Xenopus tropicalis: one gene and its partners. The protein of the gene in region 1 interacts with the protein of each later gene in a pairwise test. Links are inferred from orthologs where the notes say so. Each region holds a gene or a part of one and is shown in the gene's direction. Other genes may lie near its edges. The genes, in order: ndufaf3, snrpa and ndufaf4.

Region 1 (3,944 bases):
TATGCCATGAGAAAAAAGGAGAACCTTCCCTCGGGTGGCATTTACCAGGGGGTGGCAGAAATGTACTTGTATAAGGTGGGGGTGGCAGCCAGGGGCACTGATGCCATGAGGTGAGTTGAGATATTTGCCTCAGGTGGCAGCGGCCCGCAACTTACCAGGGGTAGCAAAAACAGGCACAGGCAATGTATTTTTTCTCTACCTACAGGGCACTTGTAGTTTTGTAATATATTTTTTATCCCTGCCTGCACTTAGAGCGTGGTAACTGTCTGAAAACCATGACATGCCACATTTTCTTTTGCTTGTGGGAATCTGCAGCCTTAGGCAGCCACATACACACAATAAATAGTGACTGTCTATGGAATCTTAGGGTCCCCATACAAGGGCCAATTCTATCTGCCGATATCGGTCCCTTAGACCGACTCGGCAGCTTATCGGCCCGTGTAAGTGCACTAACGACAGGCCTGCCTGACTGATATCTGGCCTGAAATCAGACAGATATAGATCAGGCAGGTTTGAAAATTTAGTCGGATCGGGGACTGTTAGCTCGCTGATGTGGTCCCCGAACCAACTGCGACTGCGCCTATGCCTGTCGTTCTAATTTGATCTTTTGGCCCCAGGGCCAAATGACTGAATTAGCCCGATATCACCCACCCATAGGTGGGGATATAGGGAGAAGAGCCGCTCGTTTGGTGGCCTTGGTGGCTTGGTTTTTCGCATATACATAAAAAACAGATGGCATCAGCAGAGGTATCATTTGGGGCAGAAGTTTGTCTAAGGCAGGTCTGGACTGGGATTCAAAGCCCTGGCATCTCAATTACTGGCATTTGCCAGAATCCACAGGTTGCCATTTGGGGCCTAGACTGGTGGGTCCAGTCAGAATCAGCCATATAACTGAGCCATATTTGGTGTGTACAGCCGTGATGGGACGGTCCCCTTTAAGATTCCTAAAGAAATATGTTTTCACAACACAAACTTCCCGCCCTTACAGCAACCAGTGCGTCCCGCAGCAATTCCCATAACATCCTACTTATAATGCAGGCACACTAACTGGCCACTAGATGGGGCGCTGTATGAAGTGATGCGGGAGTAAAGGCCGGTCTCTATGGTAGGTATCGGTGCCGGGCGGCCATGCTGTATGTACAAGGGCATGAATACACTGTGAGACTGTGGCATTGCTTCTCTCCGGTAGGTTATCGCTGGGGTGTGTGGCCGGGTCTGTGATACACGGTGTAGGGATCCTAGTCTAGGGGAGGAACGGGTGTAGGGTGGGACAGAATGAGTATTTACCCTGGGTCCCAAGGTTTATAGGGGGCACAGCCATGAGTGATGTAAACTATGACTCCCAGGATCCTCCAAAAGCCTTAATTCAACTATAGTTCAGCAACACTTTTCTGCAAAATGGACACCCCTAATTTATTGTGAATATAGCTCCAGATGAGACTGGGGTTATACCGCCATACAGCTACATAGCCAGGGGTACAGGCCAAGCCATTCAGTGATTCCTCAGGGATGTGCCCTCTGGCCACTCAGCCCTGCCCTTGGCTCTGGCACAGGGAATCCCAGCTGCAAGTTATATGGCTGTGCCAACTCATGGCATTATAGGGGCACAATACACACACATTCAGCTTTGTCAGCACAAACAGGATACATTGAACTGACACTTGCATTCTTCCTATTTTATTACCTTAACAAAAAGTACAAATTCTATTTCTTTTTCATTATAATGAGTTACAAGATGATTGTTGGGTTGTTTTACTCCCTCCTCAATGTAATGGGATGAGTTACAAAGGAAAACTGCAATGTATACAGACCTGCTCCTATATATAATAGATTTCTCCCGTTGTCCCTGCCAGGTTGTGTGATTAATGTATGAACTGCTTTTATTCACAGGCCTCTGTGATCCCAACAGACTGCTATGGCTCTCTCAGCAGCACTCAGGCTTCAGTCTCTGCGCTCTCTGGCCCCTCACTGCAAGCTCTTTGCATCTGCTCTCCAATCACACACACAGTAAGTATGGCACAGTGGGGCTCATTCATACACACATGGCACATTTGCACCAGGGCAGTAACCCATAGCAACCAATCTGTCATTAGATTTTTCCAGCCAGCTGCAGGGAGAACACGAAACGCAAACTTCTGATTGGTGGTCATGGGATACTGCCCAGGTGCAAATTTGCTCAGTGTTTTTAAATGCCACAGTAAGTAACAAATGCATACAATGTGTTGCTGCAAAAAAATGCAGTTTAATGGTTCAGGTTGTGTCTTAAGGTGCCCATACACGTGAAGATTCACTCGCTTTGCTCTGATCTTCACCTGATATCCCCACCTACGGGTGGACGATATCGGGGAACATATAGGCTAATAATGGTGGCAATGGGGCAGTCGGTTCGACTGAATCTTTTAACCTGCCCGATCATTATCTGGCCAATTTCAGGCCAGGTATCGATCGGGTCGTTTCTGCTCCTACACGGGCTGATAAGCTGCCGAATCAGTCCAAAGGATCGATATCAGCAGCTACAATCAGCCCATGTATAGGGACCTATAGCAAAGAAGCACCATTTTGTTTCCCAGGGCTAGTGCAGTGCAAATGTGTGATATTTCAATATGGGTTACTAGACTGGGGCAGCGTTTGCTCATGTGACGCAGTTTTTTGTGCCTAATTCAAGATTCAAATAACTTTATTAATCCCAAAGGGAAATTGCTTATGCTCGGTTACAGATGCTCACAGTTATCTAATAAATAAATAAAAAACCTCCGTAAAACAGTAAGTATCAACTTTATAGGAATGATAATACATTATGGCTCAGATCAGGCCCAGACTGAGGTTCAAAATAGGCCCTGGCATTCCAAGTACACATAGGCCCAAACAGCCCGCCCCCAGCCCAATAAATAGTGAGTGTCTATGGCATCTTACAGCAGCCCCTCTGGCATTTGCCAGAACCCACAGATTGCCAGTCCGGGCCTTTCTGCTGTAGGAACAGGAGTCACTTGGAGACCACCAAAGCAGGATTTTGGGTTATATAGCAGATTCTCAGTGCTGCCCCAGGGAAAGCACTGAGTCTACAGTATATCACAAAGTATTATTTGATTGTAGGTGGGAAAGTATATGTCCCTAAGTGACCCAGCGGTAAATAATGATCACTTCTAGAAGTTTCTTATGATACAGTGCAGTATGATGGTGGGTGATATTCCATTCAAATGTATATATGGGCAACGTGCATTCCTCCAGATTGTTATACCAATTGCCCTTAATCTGGTGACTCTACTTTGCTTGCAGGCAGCCATGCCGGTCTCACCGCCTTGCTCCAACAGACGACGAACTCTATCAGAGAACCACTGTTACCCGCCTAGAGAGAGACTCTGCGGAGTTCATGTTTATTGAGACTTACAGCTCACAGGGGTTCATTATTAATGGGGACAAAGTAGTGGGCCCGTGTGCTGTCATTCCGAAGGCCATCCTGCAGTGGAACGTGAGTGGGAATTTGCTTCATCCCAGTGTGACCAGCTGTCCTCCCAAACTGCTTGCACTGTGCAAATGACTATCCAGTATGCATGCATTGTCCTGGAGGGATTATTTTGAGGTTACAGTATGTGTGAGCAGGTTGGGGGATTAAACTGGGAAGTAACATACCTTTAGACACACTCCCCCATATGTAATAAGAGGCACTAAGTTTTTCTTGGAGTAGTAACCCATAGCAACCAATAAGATGTTTGCTTTTAAACAGGTAACTTCTACTTGCTGATTGGTTGCTATGGGTTACTGCTCCTGGGCAAACTTAGTGCCTTTTATTACATGACCCCCAGTGTGATTAATTCAACTACAGTCTGGAACTGAAACTGTTCTCTCAGGTTCCCTTTGTCCAATGTTTATAGTGTATAGATCAGAAAGCATTCAGTGTGACAAATATGTAATTATATGAGAATTCCAGCAGGGGGCACATACTT
Region 2 (4,012 bases), on another chromosome or scaffold:
CCAGATACTTTACTACTCATAACCAGACTACTACACTGGCAATTAGTACAGGGAAGAGCAGTCTGGAGTCTGTGGGTTCCTCAAGCATTATTATATAGTATACTTTGCAATATATAGGCAAAGACTATATAGCCCACATTCTATTAGTATGTGATATTTAGGCCTCAGTAGTGGATATCAAAATATTGTCACCAGAACTATGGCAAATATACAATTCCAAGCAAATATCTTGCAAGGAGGATTCTGAGCTTTGCAGTTCAAGTAGCAAATTCAGTCTCTATACCTGCCCCTGCAAATTGTGCTATGAACACCTTTTTGCAGCCTTTGGACAGAACTGGGGTGCAAAATGCAAGCTATTGCAGTGACCCATTGCCCCTGGTCTGGTTACTGTAAAAATAGATCTTGACCTTGCTAAATTCTCTACTCTGACCCTGAACTGTGGGTGTCACTTCCTAGCAATTCAAAGCAACAGGTCATTGTATCAACTCCCCAAGGAAGTCCTAACTGAAAATCTATTTTATTACAGGCGCATTAAACAGATCATTTTAATACAAATTTGGGGTTCTAAAAAGACTTGACTTTGGGTCCCTGTAATTCTAGTAATGCCATTGCACGGAGATGAAATTGTGTTGCTACTGGGAGGGATTGTGTGAGAGATTAAACATTTTCCGAGACGCTGAGGAATATGTCGTTTCTAAACCTTACATTGCAGATTTAGCTACAGGTTGTAAACAAGATCTGACACCGTACTTTATAGCATGTTGGTGAAAAAAACTACCAGATCCGGCTTCAGTTCGGAAACATTCTTTGACCACGTGTGTACTAAACCATATATGTATCCCCTTGTTCATCTGTACAGGTTAATTTATTCATTTTAATTGCCAACGATAGTATCTTGAAAACTATCACCTAAGCTATAAACGCCATGAAATCATATTCACGAACACCTACAACAATAGCAAAACAATATAGTCACGTATGCCGCAGGAGTCCGTTTCCTGTTTCCGGGAGGAATATATTAGCAGCTGCACCGCGTTCTACGCCTCGGCCTCCGATTTCATTGGTCGCGCGGCTTGCTTTGGGTTATTGCTATAGGGTGAAATGGCTTTCACTTATGGCTTGCAGCCAATCGATGAAGATTTGGGTAGGTCACCAATGATATACCTGCAAGACGTCGAGAGTTGCTGTAGCAACGCGGCCTAAGTTAGACGTAAATTGGGCGTTGAATGAATTTAGGTACAAGGCCTTCCGGTGGCGGCAATCTCAGTTAATCACATTGGGTTTTAGTGCATGCGACTTGCGTTGCTATCTTGAAATATTTCCTGCTATTGTACGTTCCATCCGGGAAGTTTATTTCTTTTCCAGCGTACCGTATTCGTATCGTAGCACAAGCCCAGCGTTTAATTTGGCGGCCCTTTTAACTGTATCATATCCAGGCTGAGGGTAAGTATGCTTCCGTCCCGTTCATTGTTATATCTTCCCGCTTCCTAGCTGTGCCACAACAACTACGGGCCTCTCACAATCAGGTCCCGGCTGTGATATTTCAACTTTAATGTTACCCTGTGTTCTTTGCATGGCTGTGTCAGGGGCTGTGTAGTTTTGTTATGATCTGGGTGTTGATAATACTAATAATACTATGTTACTACTATATGGCTCGCAAAGGAAAATATATTGTAGACCTTAGTTTGCACAAGTAAATAAGTCTGCGTGTAGTATAGGCACTGGTATATTATATGCACACTCTGCTCATACATAACTGGGCTTATGTACAGACTATACCAGGGCATTGTTCTATTTTAAGATGCAATTAACCCTTTTTTTCTCCCTTCAGATTAAGTTGTTGAGGAAGTATGGCTGTTCAAGAAGTCAGGCCTAATAACACAATCTACATCAACAACCTGAATGAGAAAATTAAAAAAGATGGTGAGTTAAGGCTGTAGCAATCCCTGGAGCGCAACCTAAATCTCTGTACCAGTGTTTACATTACTGCAATTTAGTGCTATTTAGAATTACTTGGTCTTTGAAAATCCAAAGATTTGACTTTTGCTTTCTTCTCTTTAGAGCTAAAGAAGTCTCTTTATGCCATATTCTCACAGTTTGGTCAGATTCTGGATATCTTGGTGTCTCGCAGCCTGAAGATGAGAGGACAGGCTTTTGTTATATTTAAAGAAATAAGCAGTGCCACAAATGCTCTGAGGTCAATGCAGGGGTTTCCCTTTTATGATAAACCAATGGTTAGTATTTATTGTAGTTTTTTTCCCATTTTTCATTTACTTTACTTCAAAGTGTTCTTTTAGGATAAGTCTATGGTTATAGAGACATGAATGATATCTGACACTTTATGGAAAAATGGTCAGTGACAGTGGAATGACCCATATATTTATATGAAAGGACATGGGTGTATATACCATCTTACTGGCAGATTAAAGGACTAGAAACAATTTTCCAAATCCCCCTGCCTATAAAGTAAACATACCTTTGTACGTGCATATTTGGGGTGTATGCTAATTTTCATTGAGGGGTTGAGAAGAAACTATGCACTCCCATATTGAAAAGGATATTGTACATAAGTTAATAACATCTTCAATAACCATCCTTCATAATATTTTTACAGGGCTCCTGGGTTAATACTTGTGAATGTGTGGGAGTTTACATCTGCTTAGGTAGTTTGCATGGATAGCTGTGCACATTGTTGCTAAAGGAATCCCACACCCAGTGCAATTAAATATATGGCTTGTTTGTTTATCTGTGCTCATTATTTCTTTAGAAAAAAAGAACTATAAAGCCAAGTTGGGTAGGGTGGTGGTGGATACATTCTGTTCAGTTTCCATACAGTATCTCCTCCCATTCCATTAAAACTTGGTTATTTTAGTCTTTATGCTGATTTTGCTTTTACTCCAGAGAATACAATATTCAAAATCCGATTCTGACATCATTGCCAAAATGAAAGGTACCTATGTGGAAAGAGACAGAAAGAGGCAGGAGAAGAGGAAGGTGAAAGGCCAGGAAGCTCCGGGTGTTAAAAAGGCTTTACCAGGTGCTGCGTTGCTTCCAGGCGTTCCAGGACAGATGGCGGTAAATACATACAATTTTTTTTTTTTCTTGAAAGAAACCCGTTATGTTGTGCACAGCCATAATTTTATTTATTTTTTAGGGCATGCAAAATATACCTGGTATGACTCAAGCTCCACGCATGATGCATATGGCTGGGCAGGCACCCTACATGCATCACCCTGGTATGATGCCACCACCAGGGATGGCACCAGGACAGATCCCACCAGGAGGCATGCCCCATGGACACCTGATGCCTGGGCAGATGGCACCCATGCAGCCAGTAAGTTAGACTACATCACCAGATCTGTCTGTGGGTGATAGTCTCGCTAGCTTTTATAAAGAGTACCTGATGTCTGCTAGCTTAACTATTCTTTGCAGCTTTCGGGGGAGGGGGTGCGGTGCTTAAAGGAGACATATTGGATAAATGGGGAAAACCCTAATATTGTAGGCAATTATGAATAATATATGGTGCTGGTTTCCCTTTGTGCTTAAAATTAATCCAATCTGTAAAAATGGCCCCTTTATTGGAGCTCCCTATAGATCCTCTCTTCTGACCATGTTTAAAATGAAGAGTGGGCGTTTCCTAATGGTCCCTGCCAGAAGCACAACTTTTTTAAGCGCAATCCTTCTATATCTAGAGGAGTAAAATTCACTGGTACATTCATTATTTTTATAGGATACATCTCCTTTAATATACTGGCAACTCCCAATAAACCTGGTGTCTTTCAAGAGCTGTCCACAGAAACTGCCTGTGTCTGAGTTTTTCAGTCATAACTTTGAATGCTGTTTTTTATTTTTTTTTAGATTTCTGAAAACCCACCTAACCACATCCTCTTCCTCACCAACCTTCCAGAGGAAACAAATGAGCTAATGCTATCTATGCTGTTTAACCAGTAAGTATTGCACAAAATATAACTGTTGTACACTGTCGTAGTTGCATAAAAACACCCTTGTCATA
Region 3 (4,278 bases), on another chromosome or scaffold:
GTGGTGGAGGGCCGATAATGGAAGCCAGTTTTGACTACTCCCCTTTTTGAAACCGCACCCACTTGAAACCACACCCATGTTATCACATGACCATACCCATATTAATGGTTGTAGTACAGCAAAAACTTGCCATACTCTGCCTGCCCTACCCTGCCTGTGTGTGCCATACTCTGCCTTCCCTACCCTGCCTGTGTGTGCCATACTCTGCCTTCCCTACCCTGCCTGTGTGCCATACTTGGCTGGTTTGTGCCATACTTGGCCTGTGTGTGCCATACTCTGCCTGCCCTACCCTGCCTGTGTGTGCCATACTCTGCCTTCCCTACCCTGCCTGCATGTGCCATACTTTCACTGTGTTTGCCATTCTTGGCTGGTTTGTGCCATACTTGGCCTGTGTGTGCCATACTCTGCCTTCCCTACCCTGCCTGTGTGTGCCATACTCTGCCTTCCCTACCCTGCCTGTGTGTGCCATACTCTGCCTTCCCTACCCTGCCTGCGTGTGCCATACTCTGCTTGCCCTATGATGCCTGTGTATATGGCACACACAGGCAGCCTACAGTGACACAATGCTGGCATTGCTCCTACAGTCTGCACAATAACTATATATTAAAAAACTTTTTAATTGCAGTACCACCTCAGTATATGTTCTTTTTGTAGTGTGCAGGGATTATTTGTGGGTTTCTACTGCTCCTGAGGTGTGAACAGGGGAACAATGGGGTGATTACAGCCTGAGCCTGAGGTGTGAACACTGCAGGGGGTGAACAATGCAGAGATTAAAAGGTGTGAACAACACAGGGGATTACATATTTAAACAATACAGCCTGATTACAGCCTGAATCTGAGGTGAGAACCATGCAGGGGGCCAGTTAATCACAGTACTGATACCATTTAAAGCTTACACAAGAGTAAGCCATCAAAGCAGCCAGACAGGTGGGGGGCCACACAGAGGGGGGTCGCGGGCCGCCAGTTGGACAGCACTGCTTTAGCGGTTGGATGGTATTTAAGGAAGGGAATCGGGAATAACACATCCTTCCACCTTGCAAGGAAGGGGTGGTGGGTCGCATAAGAAAGCAAGGTGGATGGAGGACAAAGACTGTGCAGCCGTTAGAATGCAGGCAAGCCGGGTAGATGTCACATGGAGGCTGTTCAATGGAGGAACGCCCAGAGATGACTTGGATAAACGGGGAAGCAGGAATCTGTCAGGACAAACTAAGAGCAGATTGCACAACTTAAATGGCAGGCAGCACAGAGGAGTTCCGATGGGGCAGGGGGGGACCTGTCAGCACATAGCAACAGAAGCCCGACAAGGATTTGGATATTGGAGATTTTAAAGGGGAGGAGAGGGCAGGACGCTCGCCCAACCTTGGTACTGGCACCCAGCCCCCTCTGGCTCCTTACGTGCTTCAAGCAGGATATCGGCACGTCAGGCCCCTTGGCTCTCGTCCTTATACAGAGCGCGGCTAGCCGGGCACGCTATGCACAGGCATGGGGCTATCATTAACCCGAGCCATGCGGAACTTTAACCTTGAAAATCGGGCTCATAGGCTTATTGGCAAGGAGAAGCCGAGGCCGGCGCCCACCCACCCCAAAACAGAGGATGCAGTGAGGGCAACCAAAACACGTGAGTATGGGTGGGAGACTTGTACACACAGCGATATTATATTTGCATCCTATGTACCAGTTATGTAGCTTGTGAACTTTTGTTTTTCGTTATACACAGAAAAATACTTTATAAAATACACATAGTACATATTCTTAAATGTTTACTAGAGCGACTGCAGCTAAGATCAGTTCACTCCGTATGACAAGGTTAGCTTGTGTGTGAGAAAGGCATGCTGGGAACAAAAGTTCTGCACTTCTCATTGGTTAGAGGTCATGACCTATGGGTTAGGTCTCTAATGTGGAACCCTGAAGGGTTGTGCTACTGCCTCATTTATTTTTATTAGTAGTATCGCTTTCCTGTGTTACATTTATAGTTGGATAAATACTAGTCATTGCACAAAGAATCCTTGCATTTGTTGCCTGGCATGGCAGATAGATGTTCTAATTCTGCAGTGTACATTTATTAGAACCAAAAAGTTATTCTGGACTCTTAAAAGCAAGTGCAGCCAGGTACCACAGTCTAAATTATTATGAATCAAAGTAGTCTGTGATTCAACCAGTGCATTCCAGCTCAGTAAACTGACAAATTGGTAGAACAACTCTGATCCCTGAAAATACTTTGAAAAACATTTGCTATGCATTTTGGTGCATTCAGTTGTCTGAGCTTCAGCTGTCAGCAATAGTGATATAAAAGGTGCTGTTGTAGGTATTTCATTACTGGTGCTAGTTTTTTTCAGATAGGGCTACGAAGGGTGTCCTTGTTACCATCAGGGTTGCTAGGTCTAATTTTCAAAACCAGCCAAAATCTGTCACAAAGCTGTTTCAAAAGCAGTTTCAAAATAGCACAATTTACCCAGTCAAATAAAAAAAATATTTATATGTGAAAAATATGCCTTCACTTTGGCCTTACAAGTCTGGAATTGCTACCTGTGCCCACCTTTCTGATACTAGGATATCTGATATTGCTATGCCCTTATGTGCAGGGTACATGCAGGTTATTGTAGTTTTACTTCAACATACGCTGCCAGCTTCAGCTTACAATAAGCCATCCAAGTATCCAGGGAATGGAAGAATTTATTAGTAACAGCACTCTTAAATATAAATCACTAATAAAAGAGGTAGGTCATGCATACCCACCAACACGTAATGGGTGTATTAATTGTCCACCCCCCCCATACCATGCTAAGCACTTCATGGCATACAGTGGGCCCCGAAGCATTTCATGAAAGACGCAGTTGTAGCCTTAACTGCATTCCCCAAACCAGCCATACACCCCTCGCTCTCAGTCTCCTGGCAGCAATGCTTTATATAATGTGGGAGAATGTCATTAGAGCCTCAGTTTGCAAAACTCTGAAATCAAAGACATCAACAGACAATCCAGAACTGTGGGCTGGATGATAAAAAATCAGGGATGTTCCACATAAAGCGTTACAGTATGGAGGTAATGCAGCAAAAGTGGATTCACAGTATGGCATTAACCCTCAGACACGATATATGGCTGTGTTTAAGTTTAACTCTCGGCAACCCCAGGAGGTATAATTTTAGTGGTCAACTGCAGAATCAAATGTTAACCCCCCACATCACATTACAAAGTAGCAGCACATACCAGATGCATCAATGAGAAGTTTGTAATGCAGTCAGGTTAGAACTGAAAGGCTAGAACTGCTGCAAAGAGTAGATAAGTTCTTGCTACACCAGTCAGTCCTGTGCTGAGTATTGTAGTTTTGCATTGACCTTGGCAGTAGGTAAAATGTTAAACAAAAACTACATTACCCTACATACACTGGGGGGGATGGGCTAGGTACACTGCCAGGCTTGTACTTTGGAAACCCTCAACAGCTTAAAGGAGAAAGAAAGGTAAAAACTAAGTAAGCTTTATCAGAAAGGTCTATGTAAATACAGCCATAAGCACTCACAGAAATGCTGCGCTGACTTCTCTGTGAAAAGATTTCTGTAATTCATGTGCCAGAGACATGCAGCTTTCTGCTCTCTGCTTTCTCCTGCTCCCCCCTCCCTCAAGAATGCTAAGAACTCACTCACCCCCCATAGGAATGTGGATCTGAGCCAATCAGCAGGAAGCTGACTCATAGTCTAACTAACTGAGCATGTTCACTTGGTCTGGGTGTCTGTGCAGGAGTGAGGCATTATGGGAACTTTCTTTACACAGCTCAGTGTTTTTCCTTCCGGTTTGGCTTCTGATCATCTGAACAGGTGAAATATGGGGAGACTTAAGGGCACTATTGAGACAACTGAATGTATGCCTGCAGCTTGAGATTAACTCTTTATTAGCCTTTCCTTCTCCTTTTAAAAATAATTTGGTAGTTAAACCAGCAACTCTGCTTACCACTGTATCCTGAAGCTACAGTTTATGACAGAAGTATGTAACTTTTATAGTTTGGGTTTTCATTTGGCTAGGAAAGAGCAGTGCTGTGCATAATCCAATTGGTTACAGATTCCGTCAATCTGTTTTAGGTATTGGGTAGTTTTATTAGAGATAAGATACATTTTCAAAAACTATTAAAGAAAATAAATAAAGACCAGTTGAAAGGTTGTTAAGAAGGTTGCAATATGTTTAGTATGTCTATAACATACTAAAAGTTTACCTTTTAAAGGAAACTGACACGCACAGGCACTTTTTAATCGTGCTAGTAGTGTGTTTGTGTATGTGTTTTCTTTACA

The links.
Region 2: the proteins of ndufaf3 (region 1) and snrpa interact in binary tests that used the Homo sapiens proteins (3 or more experiments, as listed by UniProt). The two-hybrid records come from large-scale screens. The link is inferred for Xenopus tropicalis from reciprocal best matches to the Homo sapiens genes NDUFAF3 and SNRPA.
Region 3: the proteins of ndufaf3 (region 1) and ndufaf4 interact in binary tests that used the Homo sapiens proteins (3 or more experiments, as listed by UniProt). The two-hybrid records come from large-scale screens. The link is inferred for Xenopus tropicalis from reciprocal best matches to the Homo sapiens genes NDUFAF3 and NDUFAF4.

Annotation. Positions count from the first base shown.
Region 1 is NC_030680.2:136,757,759-136,761,702, forward strand, and holds the start of ndufaf3 (NADH dehydrogenase [ubiquinone] 1 alpha subcomplex assembly factor 3), read left to right. Parts: upstream 1-1,137; 5' UTR 1,138-1,185; intron 1,186-1,890; 5' UTR 1,891-1,915; coding exon 1,916-2,007; intron 2,008-3,276; coding exon 3,277-3,469; intron 3,470-3,944. UniProt on the Homo sapiens protein: Essential factor for the assembly of mitochondrial NADH:ubiquinone oxidoreductase complex (complex I).
Region 2 is NC_030684.2:78,498,317-78,502,328, forward strand, and holds the start of snrpa (U1 small nuclear ribonucleoprotein A), read left to right. Parts: upstream 1-1,209; 5' UTR 1,210-1,443; intron 1,444-1,504; exon of another isoform or gene 1,505-1,526; intron 1,527-1,831; 5' UTR 1,832-1,850; coding exon 1,851-1,923; intron 1,924-2,061; coding exon 2,062-2,234; intron 2,235-2,901; coding exon 2,902-3,075; intron 3,076-3,154; coding exon 3,155-3,334; intron 3,335-3,858; coding exon 3,859-3,947; intron 3,948-4,012. Other genes in the region: UPF0692 protein C19orf54 homolog, read right to left, coding at 779-851. UniProt on the Homo sapiens protein: Component of the spliceosomal U1 snRNP, which is essential for recognition of the pre-mRNA 5' splice-site and the subsequent assembly of the spliceosome. U1 snRNP is the first snRNP to interact with pre-mRNA.
Region 3 is NC_030681.2:88,491,614-88,495,891, reverse strand, and holds the start of ndufaf4 (NADH dehydrogenase [ubiquinone] 1 alpha subcomplex assembly factor 4), read left to right. Parts: upstream 1-1,474; 5' UTR 1,475-1,482; coding exon 1,483-1,618; intron 1,619-4,278. UniProt on the Homo sapiens protein: Involved in the assembly of mitochondrial NADH:ubiquinone oxidoreductase complex (complex I). May be involved in cell proliferation and survival of hormone-dependent tumor cells. May be a regulator of breast tumor cell invasion.